Canis lupus familiaris: one gene and its partner. The protein of the gene in region 1 interacts with the protein of each later gene in a biochemical or structural test. Links are inferred from orthologs where the notes say so. Each region holds a gene or a part of one and is shown on either strand. Other genes may lie near its edges.

Region 1 (7,158 bases):
AATAAATATCACATAAAAATAAACTTTAATATACGGAGGAAGAGCTCTGAGAACACTTTGAAACCTGTTTGGGGGCCACTGTGCCCCCTGAAGGCTGCCCAGCCACATTTAGGACAGTTAGATGTCACTGGAATCCTCTTTTGGAGACATTCCGGGTGGAGACAGTAAGCTGCTTGACCTCCCGGGGCCCAGCGTTGTTTCAGGTCAGAGGAGAACAGGATGCTCAAGGGCTGATCTAGATGCTGCTTCATGATGTATTTTTCCTGTTTGTTGATGGGGATCCATCCAGGTGTTTGGGAGCATATTCTGGGAAATTTTTCTCTTAACGTTAGCACATATATCTTCATTCTGTTCCTTGACACTTTATATAGGTGGTTCGAGCATAAACATGTACATTTAAGTTGAACTTTTTATCTTGCTAAAGTACAAACATACCATAGCAGAGACAAAGTATAGTGGCCTTCCAAGTAGTCATTTCCCAGATCAACATTCTATTCACCTGGTGGGTAATGGGAAATTCTTTAAAATTGAATTCGTTTGGCCGTGCATCGAAGGGGGGGCCCAGCAGGGACTGAACGGCAGTTGAGCAAGTGTGTGTGTGTACACAGAAGTAAACATGAAAGTAGAGGTTGTGTGCTTTGTCTTCAACACGTGTTGCACAAACCGGGTAGTCACACCCTCCCTGAGGAGGAACCAAGGAGCTTCTTTGCTGAGTGTTACTTCAGGCGCCCAGTACAGTCAGGTCCACAGCTTCATCATCATCCGTTGGCTGGAGTTGGATCTTCTGTTCTGGCAGGTGTTAGAACCATCACTGGGCGCTCCGGTGGCTCAGCCGCTGAGCATCTGCCTTTGGCTCGGGTCGTGATCCCGGGTCCTGGGATCGAGTCCCACATCGGGCTTCTCCCACGGAGCCTGCTTCTGTCTCTGCCTGTGTCTCTGCCCCTCTCTCTCTCATGAATAAATAAAATCTAAAAAAAACCAAAACCATCACTGTCAGCATGCATAGCAACAATAGCATATGCTTTACATTTATAGAGAGATTTCTTTCATGTCTCAGTTGATCCACCAACATCTGTATGATAGGGGTAGGCTCGAACAAGCATGTACTAAATTTAGAGCTAAACCATCTGAACCCACTTGAGACATCTCCTCTGGTGCGGAGGAAAGAAGGAGAAAGGAAAGAACAGACATGTATCAACTCCTGTGACTGCCACCTGGGAATTCTAGAGTAAACTACAGTAGGAATTTTCTTTCGGCCCATGGGGCTGGGTTCTGGGGATACCCTGGAATAGTCTGACCTGTGAGCAGGGATTTGCAACAGAAACTGCTTCAGTGTTCATTCGGCTTTTATGAAAAAATCAAAAGTGGATCATGGTTTCTTTTTTTGGGGGGGGGGTTTATCTGGGATCTCTCAACAAGGAAAAGCTTCTGCCTTGGCCTTGGAGAGAAAGCACGAGTGTGGGGAGGGGAGCACGGGGAGGGAGACGCAGACTGCTGAGCAGGGAGCCCAGGACCCCGAGATCATGGCCTGGACGCGTACCCGAGAGCCAGCCGGGCGCCCCCACGTTCCTTTTACTGCTCTGGAGAGCTCGGCTCGCTGGCCCGTCAGTGTTCGAGAAGGACTGGAGTTTGGTTGCGGCTGTGATCGTGCTTGTCTTTAGTGCTGGCGCTTAGTGGGTGTGGGACCCTGAGGACCGCCCTGGCCCTGGCCCTGGCCCCCTGGCTCCAGCGGGAGAACAGCCCGGAGGGATCCCCAGTTCACCAGGGTCGGAGCTGAACCACTCAGGATTTTAAGGTAGAATTCGCTGTGCCTTGAACCGTTGTGTTTCATGTGACCCTTGGATAAACCTGCCCATTAAAATGGAAACACATCATCTTTATTTTTTTATTTTTTTTAAGATTATATTTATTCATGAGAGAAAGAGAGAGAGGCAGAGACCCAGGCCGAGGGAGAAGCAGGCTCCCTGCGGGGAGCACAACGCGGGCCTCGATCCCGGGCCCCCGGGGTCACATCTGGGCCGCAGGCGGCGCTAAACCGCTGAGCCCCCGGGGACCCCCACACCTCATCTTTGAAATGGAGCTCCTCCCAGGGGCGGCGGGGCTGAGGAGCGCCCGGTTCCGCCCTGCGGGAGCCGAGGTCAGGGGCTCAGCACCGCGGCGCTTCCGTCGCGCAGTTCAGGGAGCCGCGTCGGTCGGGTTTCGTATTTTCCGTGTGACTTGTGGTCCCAGAGGCCCGAGGGGAGCCGCGGGCTGGTCAGTGCGGCGGGCCGGGCCCGGGAGGCCGGCGGCTCCCCAAAGCCTCCAGAGAGGCTGCCCTCCCCAGGGCCCGGGCCGAAGGTGGCCTGGGCTCCCCGCTCTCGGCTGGAAATAGCCGCTCAGGAGGCATCGCGCCCCTTGGTCCCGGGAGGAGCCAGTCGGCGGGTCTAGACCTGGTGCCGGTGTCCGAGCCGGTGTCCCCGGGGCAGCCGGTGTCCCCGGCCGGACCCGCTGTCAGCCCTGCTCCCCTCCCCGCGCCTGGATCTCTCCACTGTTAGTCTCATTATATTATTTTCAGTACAGATGACTTCTTAGCTGGGAAGTGATCTAAATGTCCTACAGGGGGACGCCTGGGGGCTCAGCGGTCGGGCACCGCCTTCGGGCCAGGCCATGACCCCGGGGACCCAGGATCGAGTCCCATGTCGGGCTCCGCACAGGGAGCCTGCTTCTCCCTCGGCCTGGGTCTCTGCCTCTGTGTCTCATGTATACATAAAAATTTTTTTGATATTATTTATTTATTTATTCAGAGAGAGAGAGAGGCAAAGACACAGGCAGGGGGAGACATAAAATCTTTAAAAAAATACAAATTTATTTCCTACCTGTGTAGACTTTTCCAAAAACTAAAGTTGTAAGTCAGAAAAATTGCTTTTTGACACATTTGTGATTAGAAAAATCTAGACGTGGTACGTCGGCCTAGCTTTGTCACAGAGATCAAAATAACCATTACTCTCGTGGCAAGACTCTCCCTGTATCTTAAAACTTTTAGTACCTTCCATCCTTCCCTGGAGCCATGTTTGTTTGTTTTTAATTTATTTTGTGTTTGTTTTTAAGAGGGTTATTTGTGATTTCCCAGAAGTGAAACCCTTTCCCAGGGCAGCCCCTTGCAGCCCCCTGCTTCACCTGCGGGTCACGAGATGACCATTAGCCAGGACTTCCCCGTACTCATTTGTGCAGGCCTCCGGAGCGAACACCCAAGTCCGGAGATTGTTTCCATAAATGAACCACAGGAACAAGAGTTGCTAGAGATGATGGGGGAAAGTAATCCGTGTAGGAAACACCAAAAGAATGGTGCTGTTTCACAGCTGCTAGATTGACATTTAGCAGGGGTTTTCCCCCACTCTGTAAACTGGATATTTGCTGAGTTTAGAAGAAACTCCACATATTTGATCATGTTTCCCAAACTCCCATTTCTCATAGTAAACCAGTGGCTTGGAGTTACTCTCATTTCTGTATTCCATTAAACACGTGTGGGGCTTCCCTTAATTCAAGAGCTTTAATGTGCGTGTTCCTTTGCTCCGTAGTGACCTCTACTACCACCCGGTCATTAATAATCCAAGTTATAAGTATTAGAATGGATGGCTGTTTGTACGTTCTTGTTTCTTGATTCATTGATTGGAATTAACCGTGTCCTTCCAGAACATGGGATCTGTGTTCCCATTCAGATCGTCATCTCCCTACCACCGGCCATCAACAGTGGCATAATGTAAACTACATGATATCTGCCATTTTAAAAACCATCTTAACCATGGTCTCTCTCTTTCCCTTTTTTTAAACATAGGACATGGATTTGATTGACATACTTTGGAGGCAAGATATAGATCTTGGGGTCAGTCGAGAAGTATTTGACTTCAGTCAACGACGGAAGGAGCATGAGCTGGAAAAACAGAAAAAACTTGAAAAGGAAAGACAAGAACAACTCCAAAAGGAGCAAGAGAAAGCTTTCTTTGCTCAGTTACAACTAGACGAAGAGACCGGTGAATTCCTTCCGGTTCAGCCAGCCCCACACATCCCATCGGAAACCAGTGCATCTGCCAACTACTCCCAGGTACAGAAAACTCTGTTCTTGGGAAGGTGTGTGGCAGGGTTTATGGAACTAATACCGACCCAAGAGTTAAAACATCTGGATTTGAGTTTCACTTCACCTTTTTTTATGCCTTTTACTGTCTTCATGACCATATCAAGTCACCTTCCCAACCTCAGCTTCCTGATGAGTTCCTCACAGAGTTGTAGGATTGGGAGGACATAAATCACGGGAAGGTGCTTTCTAAGCTGTGGAAACATACGTAAGTGTCAAGCAGCAGCGGTGGTGGCAGCGGTAAAAGTAGTACAGAGTACTCGCATCTTGTCTGCAGATGAGCAGTTGCAGCTCAGAGATTCAGTAACTTGCTTGCCCGGAGCGCTCAAAACTGGGGAAACCAAGATTCAAACCCAGATAGTCTGGTTGATTTGATTCTGTGCTCTGTACTACACTAAACTGATTTCGGAAAGAAGATAAATGTCTAACTAAATTATAAACACCGTATGACACTGAACAATCTTTTTTTTCTTTTATGTCTCTCTCTTTTATCTAGGTTCCCCACATTCCCAAGCCAGATGCTTTGTACTTTGATGACTGCATGCAGCTTTTGGCAGAGACATTCCCGTTCGTAGATGACAATGAGGTACATTTGGTTAACAGTGAAACTCCTCCACTATATCTAATCACTGTATCTAATATATCCTCTAAGTGTGTCTCCGGTAAAAAAAAATATTTTAAGAGGAAATTTTGTCAAAGAATCCTTAGCCTGTAGATAACTTTACAATTAAAAAAAATATATCTCTACAAAATATACACTTACTGCTGTATAGCCAGAAGCATGGATCTGCATAACCATGGAAACAAATGACTCATTGGTTGTAGGTACTTAGAAATAAATTTTGGTGTGTAAAAAGCAAGCTGGGTAATAAACCAAGACTTGCTCAATTAACACTTTTAGTAAATTTATTATGTTTGAAGCACTATACTAGATATTTTTACTGAGACATACAAATTAAAAATCCTAAAGATTTATACTTATTTTGAAATTTACCTTTGAATGTATAGGATAAAACAACTAAACTAGTAAATGATTAAGTTTAGAGTCGGGCAGGGGAAAAAGAGATTTGTTTCATTAATAAGTGGTTTCATAAGTGGTTATAACTAAAGAAATAGAGAACTGTTAGCCAAGTCCAGTTGAAGGTGTTGTGGGGGTGCCTTGGGGTGTACTTCTCCACTGATGCTGGCAGACTCATGGAGATAAATGCTCTGTCAATTGTAGGTTTCTTCAGCTGCATTTCAGTCCCTTGTTCCTGATATTCCCAGCCAAATCGAAAACCCAGTCTTCATTGCTCCTAATCAGGCTCAGTCACCTCAGACTCTTGCCGTTCAGTCAGTCATTGCTGATTTAGACAATATGCAGCAGGACATTGAGCAAGTTTGGGAGGAGCTACTATCCATTCCAGAACTGCAGGTAACTAAGATCTAATATCAATAAATACCAAAGACACTTTGATATTCAGTGCCTTTAATTATCCAGTTACTATTTACATGCCACCTACTTAATGGAAGGATTGGAAGGTGCTTTTTTTAATATTTTATTTATTTATTTGAGAGAGAGGGAGAGAGCAGGAGAGCATAAGGGAGAGAGCAGGGGAGCATAAGCGTTGGAGAGGGGGAAGCAGGGAGCCCGATGTGGGGCTCCATCCCAGGACCCTGGGATCATGACCTGAGCCATGGAAGCTGCTTAATTGAGTCACCCAAATGCCCAGGAGGGTGCTTTTATTTTTATTTTTTTATTCATGAGAGACAGAGGCAGAGACATAGGTAGAGGGAGAAGCAGGCTCCATGCAGAGAGTCCAATGCAGGACTCGATCCTGGGACCCTGGGATCACACCCTGGACTGAAGGCAGAATCTTAACCACTGAGCCACCCAGGCGTCCCAGAGGGTGCTTTTAAATTAGTCCTGAGAGGGGCACCTGGCTGGCTCAGTCACAGGAGCATGCTACTCTTTCAGAGTTGTGAGTTTGAGCCCCACCTTGGGTGTAAAGATTACGTAAATAAACTGGAGTCACAAGAGTTGCCCATGATCACTTACGTGCAGTTGTTTTTTTTTTGTTTGTTTGTTTGTTTTTTAATTTTTTTAAGCTTTTATTTATTTATTCGTGACAGACAGAGAGGCAGAGACACAGGCAGAAGGAGAGGGAGAGAAGCAGGCTCCATGCAGGGAGCTGGACACGGGACCTGATCCCCGGCCTCCAGGATCACATCCCGGGCCAAAGGTGGCGCCAAACTGCTGGGCCACCTGATTGTCTTGAGGAAAGATCTGGTCTTTGTAGACCAGAAGTCTGACCTAGGAACTGTGAAAATAATGTACATACTTAGACATAAATATGTTAGAAATGGATGGGAATTAGCTGAATTACAGAAGAGCTTGGAAAGAATGGGGGTGGGGAATCAGAATCAGATATAGATTTCCAGCTTTTAAAACTATTTGCCATCAGGGGCACTTGGTCGGTTCAGTTGGTGGAACATGGAAATCTTGATCTCGGGGTTGTGAGTTCAAGCCCCATATTGGGTATAGAGATTACTTATAAAATCTTTAAAAAATAAATATTTGCCATGAAATATAGACTATCTGCTATCAAAAATATTTCACCTTGATTTACATTTAGTAAAAATTTCTTTTCCACAGTGTCTTAATATTCAGAATGACAAGTTGGTCGAGACTAGCATGGTGCCAAGTCCAGAAACCAAAATGACAGAAATCGACAACAATTATCATTTCTACCCCTCAATGCCCTCACTGGAAAAAGAAGTAGGTAACTGCAGTCCACCTTTTCTCAGTGCTTTCGAGGATTCTTTTAGCAGCATCCTCTCCACAGAAGATTCCAGCCAGCTGACAGTGAACTCATTAAATTCAGATGCCACAATAAACACAGATTTTGGTGATGAATTTTATTCTGCTTTCATAGCAGAACCCAGTAGTAGCAACAGCATGCCTTCCTCTGCTTCTTTCAGCCAGTCACTCTCTGAACTTCTTAATGGGCCCATTGATGTTTCTGATTTATCACTTTGTAAAGCGTTTAACCAAAACCACCCTGAAA
Region 2 (7,158 bases), on another chromosome or scaffold:
TTCTGCTTCCAACACCCCTGCTTCGTCTGTGGCTGAGCAGAGCACCGTGCAGCCCCCTGAGGGGCAGGCCCCCCTTGGCCGCCCCGCAAAGGGCTCCGAGTGCAGATCCCCCACTTGTACAAGGCACAGTAACCCGCCCACCGAAGCACATCTCTGCTGTCCAAGTGCCACAAGTCCATCTCGCTCCCTTCCAGCGACACCACAGGCCGCCCCAGCCCACGGCTGGAGCCTGTCCACACTCGGGACGTGCCAGCCAAGGCACGACTGCCAACCTGCGGGATCCACCGCCGTCAAGCGAGCACGAGCATCAAGTGGAGCCACAGGCCTGCGCGTTGCGTGGGACCAGCTTCCCCACGCGGCCCCTGCCCATCCCGTGGACCTGATTTTCCACGGGTAAGTGCAGCCGCCTCCGCCCCCCACTCACGCACCAGCCGCCCACAGACCCCGTCCAGGCCCCGCGCAGGCCCCCAGCCCGGCGCCGCTGCGAGTGCAGACAAAGGGCGTTCAGGAGGGGCCGCCGGTCACTCGCAGTTCTCCTCCCTTTTGTGTGTTCAGAGTCGGATTCATTTCATTCGTTGGTTCCTTTGGCAGCTTCCTGACGGCGACTCAAGGCTCCGGAGGCATTCCTCAGGCCTGTGTCCGCCCCCAGCCCCGCCTCGGGCACCTAGGGCTCACCAGCAGGCCAGAGGACGCGTTTGATAACTGGAACAGTATCAGCGTTCACAGCAGTGCATCCTCCAACGGAGGGGGGGTGGACTCTAAAAAAAGGGAAGAGGCAGAGCACAGGGAAATCCGAGGGCCGTCAGGTTGGGGCCACACGGCACCACAAAAATGGGAGCGTCCTCAAGAGTGATTTCCTTCTTGTCCTTCCCACCGACACAGCAGCAGGAGACAGTTAAAATCCCCCCTGGTGAATGAGCTTTTAGACCCAGGGAAACCTCTTGTTAACACGTATTAATTCGGTTAGCACCCACGTCTGAGATCAAAGAGACGTTCCGGAAGTCTCTGCAGCTTACGGCTGAAACCTGCACAGCACCTCTTTTAAGTCACCCTATCCAGCTTAAGTGTTTTAACACTATATTGTGTGTAGAAAACTTCAGAAATTTACACCAACATTCTCCCTATGGGAGACCGCAAGGGTGGCTTTGATGAGGCCCACACCGCCCTTAAAGAGGCCAATGCGACCCTGTCAAACTGCCCTGTTCGGGGCTGGACTCCGACGGGCGGCACCGGGGCTGGGGCTGCTGCACCTACGACCTAACACTTGATCTGCTCGGTTCCCAGGGCCCAGAAGTATGTGATTAGGATCAAATAGCCAGGATGGGGCGAATTCGAGCACCAGACAACATCCCCTGGGCTGCGTGGGGAGGCACTAAAAAAAACGAAGACTAGAGGTAACAAGTGGGTGGCAGTCAGAGGAACCGCACTTCCCCACCACACGCGAAGCTAATTCCGTGGCAGGCCGAGGTCTCAGCTGAAGAAGGGAAGAAACCTAAGAGTGTCGAACACTTAACATGGGCCAGATGCTGGGCAGCGTGTTCTCTCCCCTTTTCTTCCCTCATTTATCAATGAGCCCGGGCCTGAGTGGGGACAGAGCGTGCAGAAGCCCTAGTGCAGCACAGTCACGGGACAAAGGAGGGGTCTGAGTCCAGAGGGTTCCAGACGGCACCCCGGAAACCCAGACCGGGATGCACCGTGGTCTTTCCCTGCCTCGGCTTCCTTCCTCCTTCCTTCCTTCCTTCAGTCCAAAGATGCCAGCCTGTCCACGGCCACCATCGCGCCAAGGGCTTGGCTCTCCTCTGCAAATATAGTCAATTCTGGGCTAACACCGAACTCAGTGTGCTTTTAATTGATGCTTTTGCCCAGAAGGTTCTTTAAACCTGCTTTAGAGGTGAGTCATGCACTCATATCGCAGATGAAATAACCACGTTCAGAGCATTTGTTTACTCAGGATTACTGAGATGCCAGCAAGGCTGCAAAAACCAGTTTGGTGTGGGACGCCGTCAGCACAGTCACTCCCCACAGGAGGTTTCTGACTGTTCCAGCTCCTCTGAAGGAGTTTCATTCCAAGGTTACATCCTATTAGCAAGCTGTGCTAACTCTAACAGGCTGGAGGAGACAACTGAACCAATGGAAAAAACAAAAACAAAAACAAAGATTCATTGTCAAAATGAGGCCAATTTTAGTGATGTTCGAAAATGAGCTATAAGAAAGGTGGAAAGGAAAGACCAATGAGTCGAAATCCCTCTTTGCTCAGCTCACAAAGATCCCTAGATTTCCGTTTTCCCCTCTGAAAGTCCTCTTGAAAAAGTATGACACAGGGAATCCCCGGGTGGCTCAGCGGTTTAGCGCCACCTTCAGCCCAGGGCGTGATCCTGGAGTCCCGGGATCGAGTCCTGCATCCAGCTCCCTGCATGGAGCCTGCCTCTCCCTCTGCCTGTGTCTCTGTCTCTCTCTCTATGTCTATCATAAATAAATAAATAAGTCTTAAAAAAAAAAAAAAGGCAGAAAAAAGAAAAGTGTGACACATACTCGGATCACAGAGCCAAAGCTTCCCAGGCAATGGGTTAGTTTTCGTTGTGCTTCCTCCAAAGCAGAGTTTTAACTTTATTCTCTTATTATTAATAACAAGCCCGCGAATTACCAAAGCCAATCAACACGTTCCACGTGCTCGTGCTGCCCTCAAGACATGCTTAAGTGCTTCCTGGGGCCAAGAGCAAGGATGCTTAACGGCAGCAAAGCGGCCATTAGCTTCGCGAACACTGAACTGCGTCGGCCTATTAATTATTTGAGCCAAGAGTATTATATACTCTTAAGCACACAAGACGACCATTATGGACTCAGATATATGACACAGAAAGACGACTTTTGTTCGCCCTGACAAAAGGGTCAGCCTGTCTGATTAACTCTGAAAGGCTGCCGTGTAAGGCAGTCTGGATGGCTCAGTGTGTCCACGCATCAGACAAATTTAAACAACGCAGGTGTAACCTTTTACGAGCAGAGACCCCGGTTTCCTTCTGAAGTTAATAAATGCCCTAAAGGGGGCTATTTTTTTTGTTGAGGAAAAAATTTTTAAATAAGCGATAAATAATTGGAGAGAAAACAAACTAGGAAAAAAACTTAAGCATTCCGGTTCTTACACCCTCCTTCATTCCAGAAAGCATTGAGGAATCGAAATTTGAGTATCAACCAATATCTCCTGGGGTGATAACCCGTAGGAAGCTCAAGTTTGTTAAGAAGCAGTTCAGCAAACGCTCAAGCGCTTCCACTCTGGAGCCTGAGCCCCCGGGTTGGTTTCTCGACCCGCTCCTCCACCTACGAAGCTCTAGGACTTTGGGCAAGTCGCTCAACCTCTGTGCACCGGTTGTTCCCATCCCTACAGTGCTCTAGGAATAGTATCTCGCAAGGCTGTTGTCAGGATCAGACGAAGTGACCCACGGAGCCCCCGGCCCCAGGTGTGCAGGGAGGCCCAGCAGAGCCTGGCTGGCATTATTAACCTAAGGCACAAGGCAGGGGCTCCCAACTGGGCCGCACAACAGCATCATGAGAGAACCCCCTGGCGATGCCCGTCCCAGATCCCACCTCTGGGACGGGCAGTTTTGAGATGCTGGTTGGGAGACGCGGGGGCTCAGCCAAGGCTGGGACCCCCGGCTCCAGTTAGGGGCAGGGCCGGGCAGCTGCGGTCGACCCCGGTGCTTTCCATTCTGGGGAGCAGGGTGTTTGACTTGAATAGTTCGGGGACTACCTCTGCACCGGTCACTCTCACTCTTGGAGGGACTCGCGCCGCTCAATTCCCCGCATACTCACCCGGGACCACTCCTTACCTCACGCTCATCCCCCGAAGGGCGCCGCGCTTAGGAAGGCAGGTGCTTCCAGGTGCTGACGAACGCAGTGGGGATCAGCGAGTACGGGACCGTGGTTATGCTGTTCCACACATCTAACGTGGGGTCGTAGCAGTCCAGAGTCTTGCACCGCTGGATGCCAAAGTATCCCCCGACCACGTAGAGTTTGTTTCCGGAGGCCACAGCGTGGCAGCTCATGCGCTTTGCGGTCACGTCTCCCACCTTGGTCCACTGGTACGTCTCGCTGTTGAATTTGTAGGCGGAGCAGGCCGAGAACTCGGTGTCCCCACCCATGATGAAGATCTGGTTGCCCAGCACAGCTGCAGCCGTGTAACGCCAGGGCTGGGGGCAGGTGGCGGGCACCGTCCACCTGTTCTCACACTGATCGTAACACTGAACCTTAGGGAGCTTGTCATGACTGACGCTGGTACCTCCGAAAGCGAACAGCTTGAGCTTGGCGCTCACCACCGCCGCGTTGCTGACACCTTCTCGGAGTGGGGCCACCATGGTCCACTTGTTGGTCGTGGGGTCATAGTGTTCTACTTGCTTTAGAGAGACGGAGGGGGAGGCCGGGAGGCAGCCCGTTGCGGCCGTGTGCCCCCCGACCACATACAGGCAGTGCTTCAGTTCGGCAGAGCCGTGGCCAAACCTGGCCACCAACATGGGGGCGGCTTTGGACCACTCCTCGTGCAGGGTATCATACACCCAGACGTCTTTCGAGACTCCGTTCTCAGACCCCCGGCCCCCGGTGATGTATACTTTGCAGCCAATTGCACACGCGCTGAATTCTTTTCTTGGGCTGGGGATGTCGGCCTTGGGGATGATCTCTTTGGCCTTCTGGTCTACCAGATACAGCTTATCGCACATGAAGGTCTGCCCTCCCAAGAGGAACAGAGCGTGGCCGGTTTTCCGAGGCCGGGCACAGAGGCTGGTCACCACGCCATCGTTCTGCAGGATTTTTAGTTTGCACCTGATGGCCTCTTCCACTATCTCCTTGCTCTTTCTCTGCTTGGTAATGAGTTCCTCCATGGCCACGTTCTCCATGAGGTAAATGGCGGGGAGGAGGGCCAGCCTCACCGTCTGCAGCAGCTCTGGGAGGTAGCAGTAGCGCTTCTTCAGGTCGTAGCTGATCCAGTTAATTGCAGACTCGTACACGAGCCTTTCATCTTCTGTCTCCAGCTCTTCGCTGGACAAGAGCTGCACCACCATGTCCTGGGGCAGCTGGAGGAAATCTTCGTTCTTCCTGATGGTCTGGAAATTGCTGAGACACATTCGCCAGGAGAGTTCATAGAGCTTCGTGCACTGGTGTGCGTCGGAGAGCAGCAGCATGCCCAGGCAGTTGGTGGGATGCAGATTCTTTTCTAGGAACTCGGCGCACGCATCCCGGATGTCCTGAAACTCCAGCATGTCGCCGGCTTCCAGGAGCGACTCTGCGTTTTCTTCATTGATGATGACCCGCGAGGAGTAGGCGTAGTCAAGGAGCAGCTCCAGGACCTCCGGGTGGATGGAGTTGTCGAAGTTGACCTCGCTGTCCTGGCTCTCCTTCAGGCCGCCGCTGAACATGGCCTCAAAGTAGCGGCTGCACGCGGCCAGCACGGCCCGGTGGCAGGGGAAGGTCCTGTTCCCCGCGTGGAGGAGGACGTCGGTGAAGAGGCGCTGCTGGCGCAGAAGGTTCAGATGCGTGAGGACGCTGTCGGCATAGGAAGACTTGTGGAACAGGTAGATGTTGATGGAGCCGGAGCTGGCCCTGGACTTGCGGTTCTCGTGCACGCTGACCGACATTGTGTTTCCTCTCCTAAAACCAAGACACAGCAAAACAGGCCATTGAACGGGGGACGCTCTCGACGTTCAGAACAGCACAGCAAAGCAAACAAATGGCTGTGACCGGAGAAAACACAGGGCTTTGCCGTTAGCCTGCAGTAATGGGCAGCCCTTCCCGCAGAGCCACAGACACCACCCAGCAGCCAAGGCATCTCCCTGTAATGCTGTTGAGCTGCTCGAGCACTGTTTAAAAAAAAAAAAAAAAATCACGGCTCGGAAGCAGGTTCATCTTGGAAAACCTGACTGCCAACTTTGAGGAGACTGAAGTCCTTGAGAATGTAAGACGGCAAAACCCCAGAGGAGGGAGGTCTGACTCGCAGGGCTCCCGGTCCTCGTCCAGCTGATTCACTGCAGGCCACTTAGAATGCCAGCCTTCCAGCTCTCGTAACGCCGGCATGGGCACCAGCTCTCATGCCCTATGCAACATAAAGCCATGTGTAAAACAAATACCTACTAATTAATTCCATCAAGAATTCCTTTAGTAAGAGCCGGTGTCTCTGTGTACCACGGTACATGGGAGACGTAATATTAGGGTCATAGGCTTAGGCCAACTCCTTCCAAGATCAGATCTTTATTAAAACCTTACAAATAACTTCTGGCCGACAACGCCACCAGGACAGGGCCCTCAAACAGCACCAACATAAACATTACCATATATTGATTAGCAGGCTTTTGTGAAAACACAGAACAGACTCTGGCCACAATCACCACCCATGTGTCTTGGCTCTGGACAGCTTCCAAAATGAGGATTTGCACACATAAAAGGAAGAATATTTTGAGCAGCCTACTCATCACTGCTGTTTTTCTGTTCTTCCTGCTTTATATCAATTCTTGGAAAACCAGTTGCAAGAACAAAGGATCTATCCGTCCCCCTCTTCGGATTGAACAGTGAGTGCATCACCAGGCTCATTCTCACGGACCTGCAAACACCGCCACGTGCAGGGGGGGTTCAAAATGCAAACACTGTTTTATGTAAGTCAAAAGCACACGCATTTGTGCTCTTGTGCTAGGGCCACCCTTGTCTTTATTTGCCAAGTAAAGTCCTTTCCTCCAAATTACTGAAATCATAGCAAAATCTAATGCTGTCTTTGGCTTTCCTCAGTAAGTCAGCTGTAGGTTCAGGATCTGGGAAATACCTGTCACCCATCTTCAAACACTGAATCACATGCTTTTTTTTTTTTTTTTTCTTTTCTATCCTTCTGTTACTTCAAAAGAATAAAGCCTTCAAGAACCTGCCCGTCAAAGGGTTCCTAAGGAAGCTGTTTATGCCAAGAGGCTAAACTGTATAAGTTACAGTATCTGTTCCAAACTCAGAACAGCTAGTTCTTCCAAGCGGGCCTCCTTGTTGTTTCCTTCAACATTCCCTTAGTTATTTCTTTTCAATCTATATTGCAGTAATTGCTAATAAACAGAAATGAGTGACTCTCCACAAATTCAAGGGCTAGATACCAAGCGGCACTTCCCGACCAGCTGTGGCACAGCACGGCGCACAACA

The links.
Region 2: the proteins of NFE2L2 (region 1) and ENC1 form a complex in vitro, tested with the Homo sapiens proteins (2 studies listed by BioGRID). The link is inferred for Canis lupus familiaris from reciprocal best matches to the Homo sapiens genes NFE2L2 and ENC1.

The regions. Positions count from the first base shown.
Region 1 is NC_049257.1:21,322,182-21,329,339, reverse strand, and holds part of NFE2L2 (nuclear factor erythroid 2-related factor 2), read left to right. Parts: intron 1-3,814; coding exon 3,815-4,081; intron 4,082-4,607; coding exon 4,608-4,697; intron 4,698-5,333; coding exon 5,334-5,525; intron 5,526-6,746; coding exon 6,747-7,158.
Region 2 is NC_049223.1:56,426,311-56,433,468, forward strand, and holds part of ENC1 (ectoderm-neural cortex protein 1), read right to left. Parts: intron 5,638-7,158; 5' UTR 5,625-5,637; coding exon 3,855-5,624; 3' UTR 3,825-3,854; intron 1-3,824. UniProt on the Homo sapiens protein: Actin-binding protein involved in the regulation of neuronal process formation and in differentiation of neural crest cells.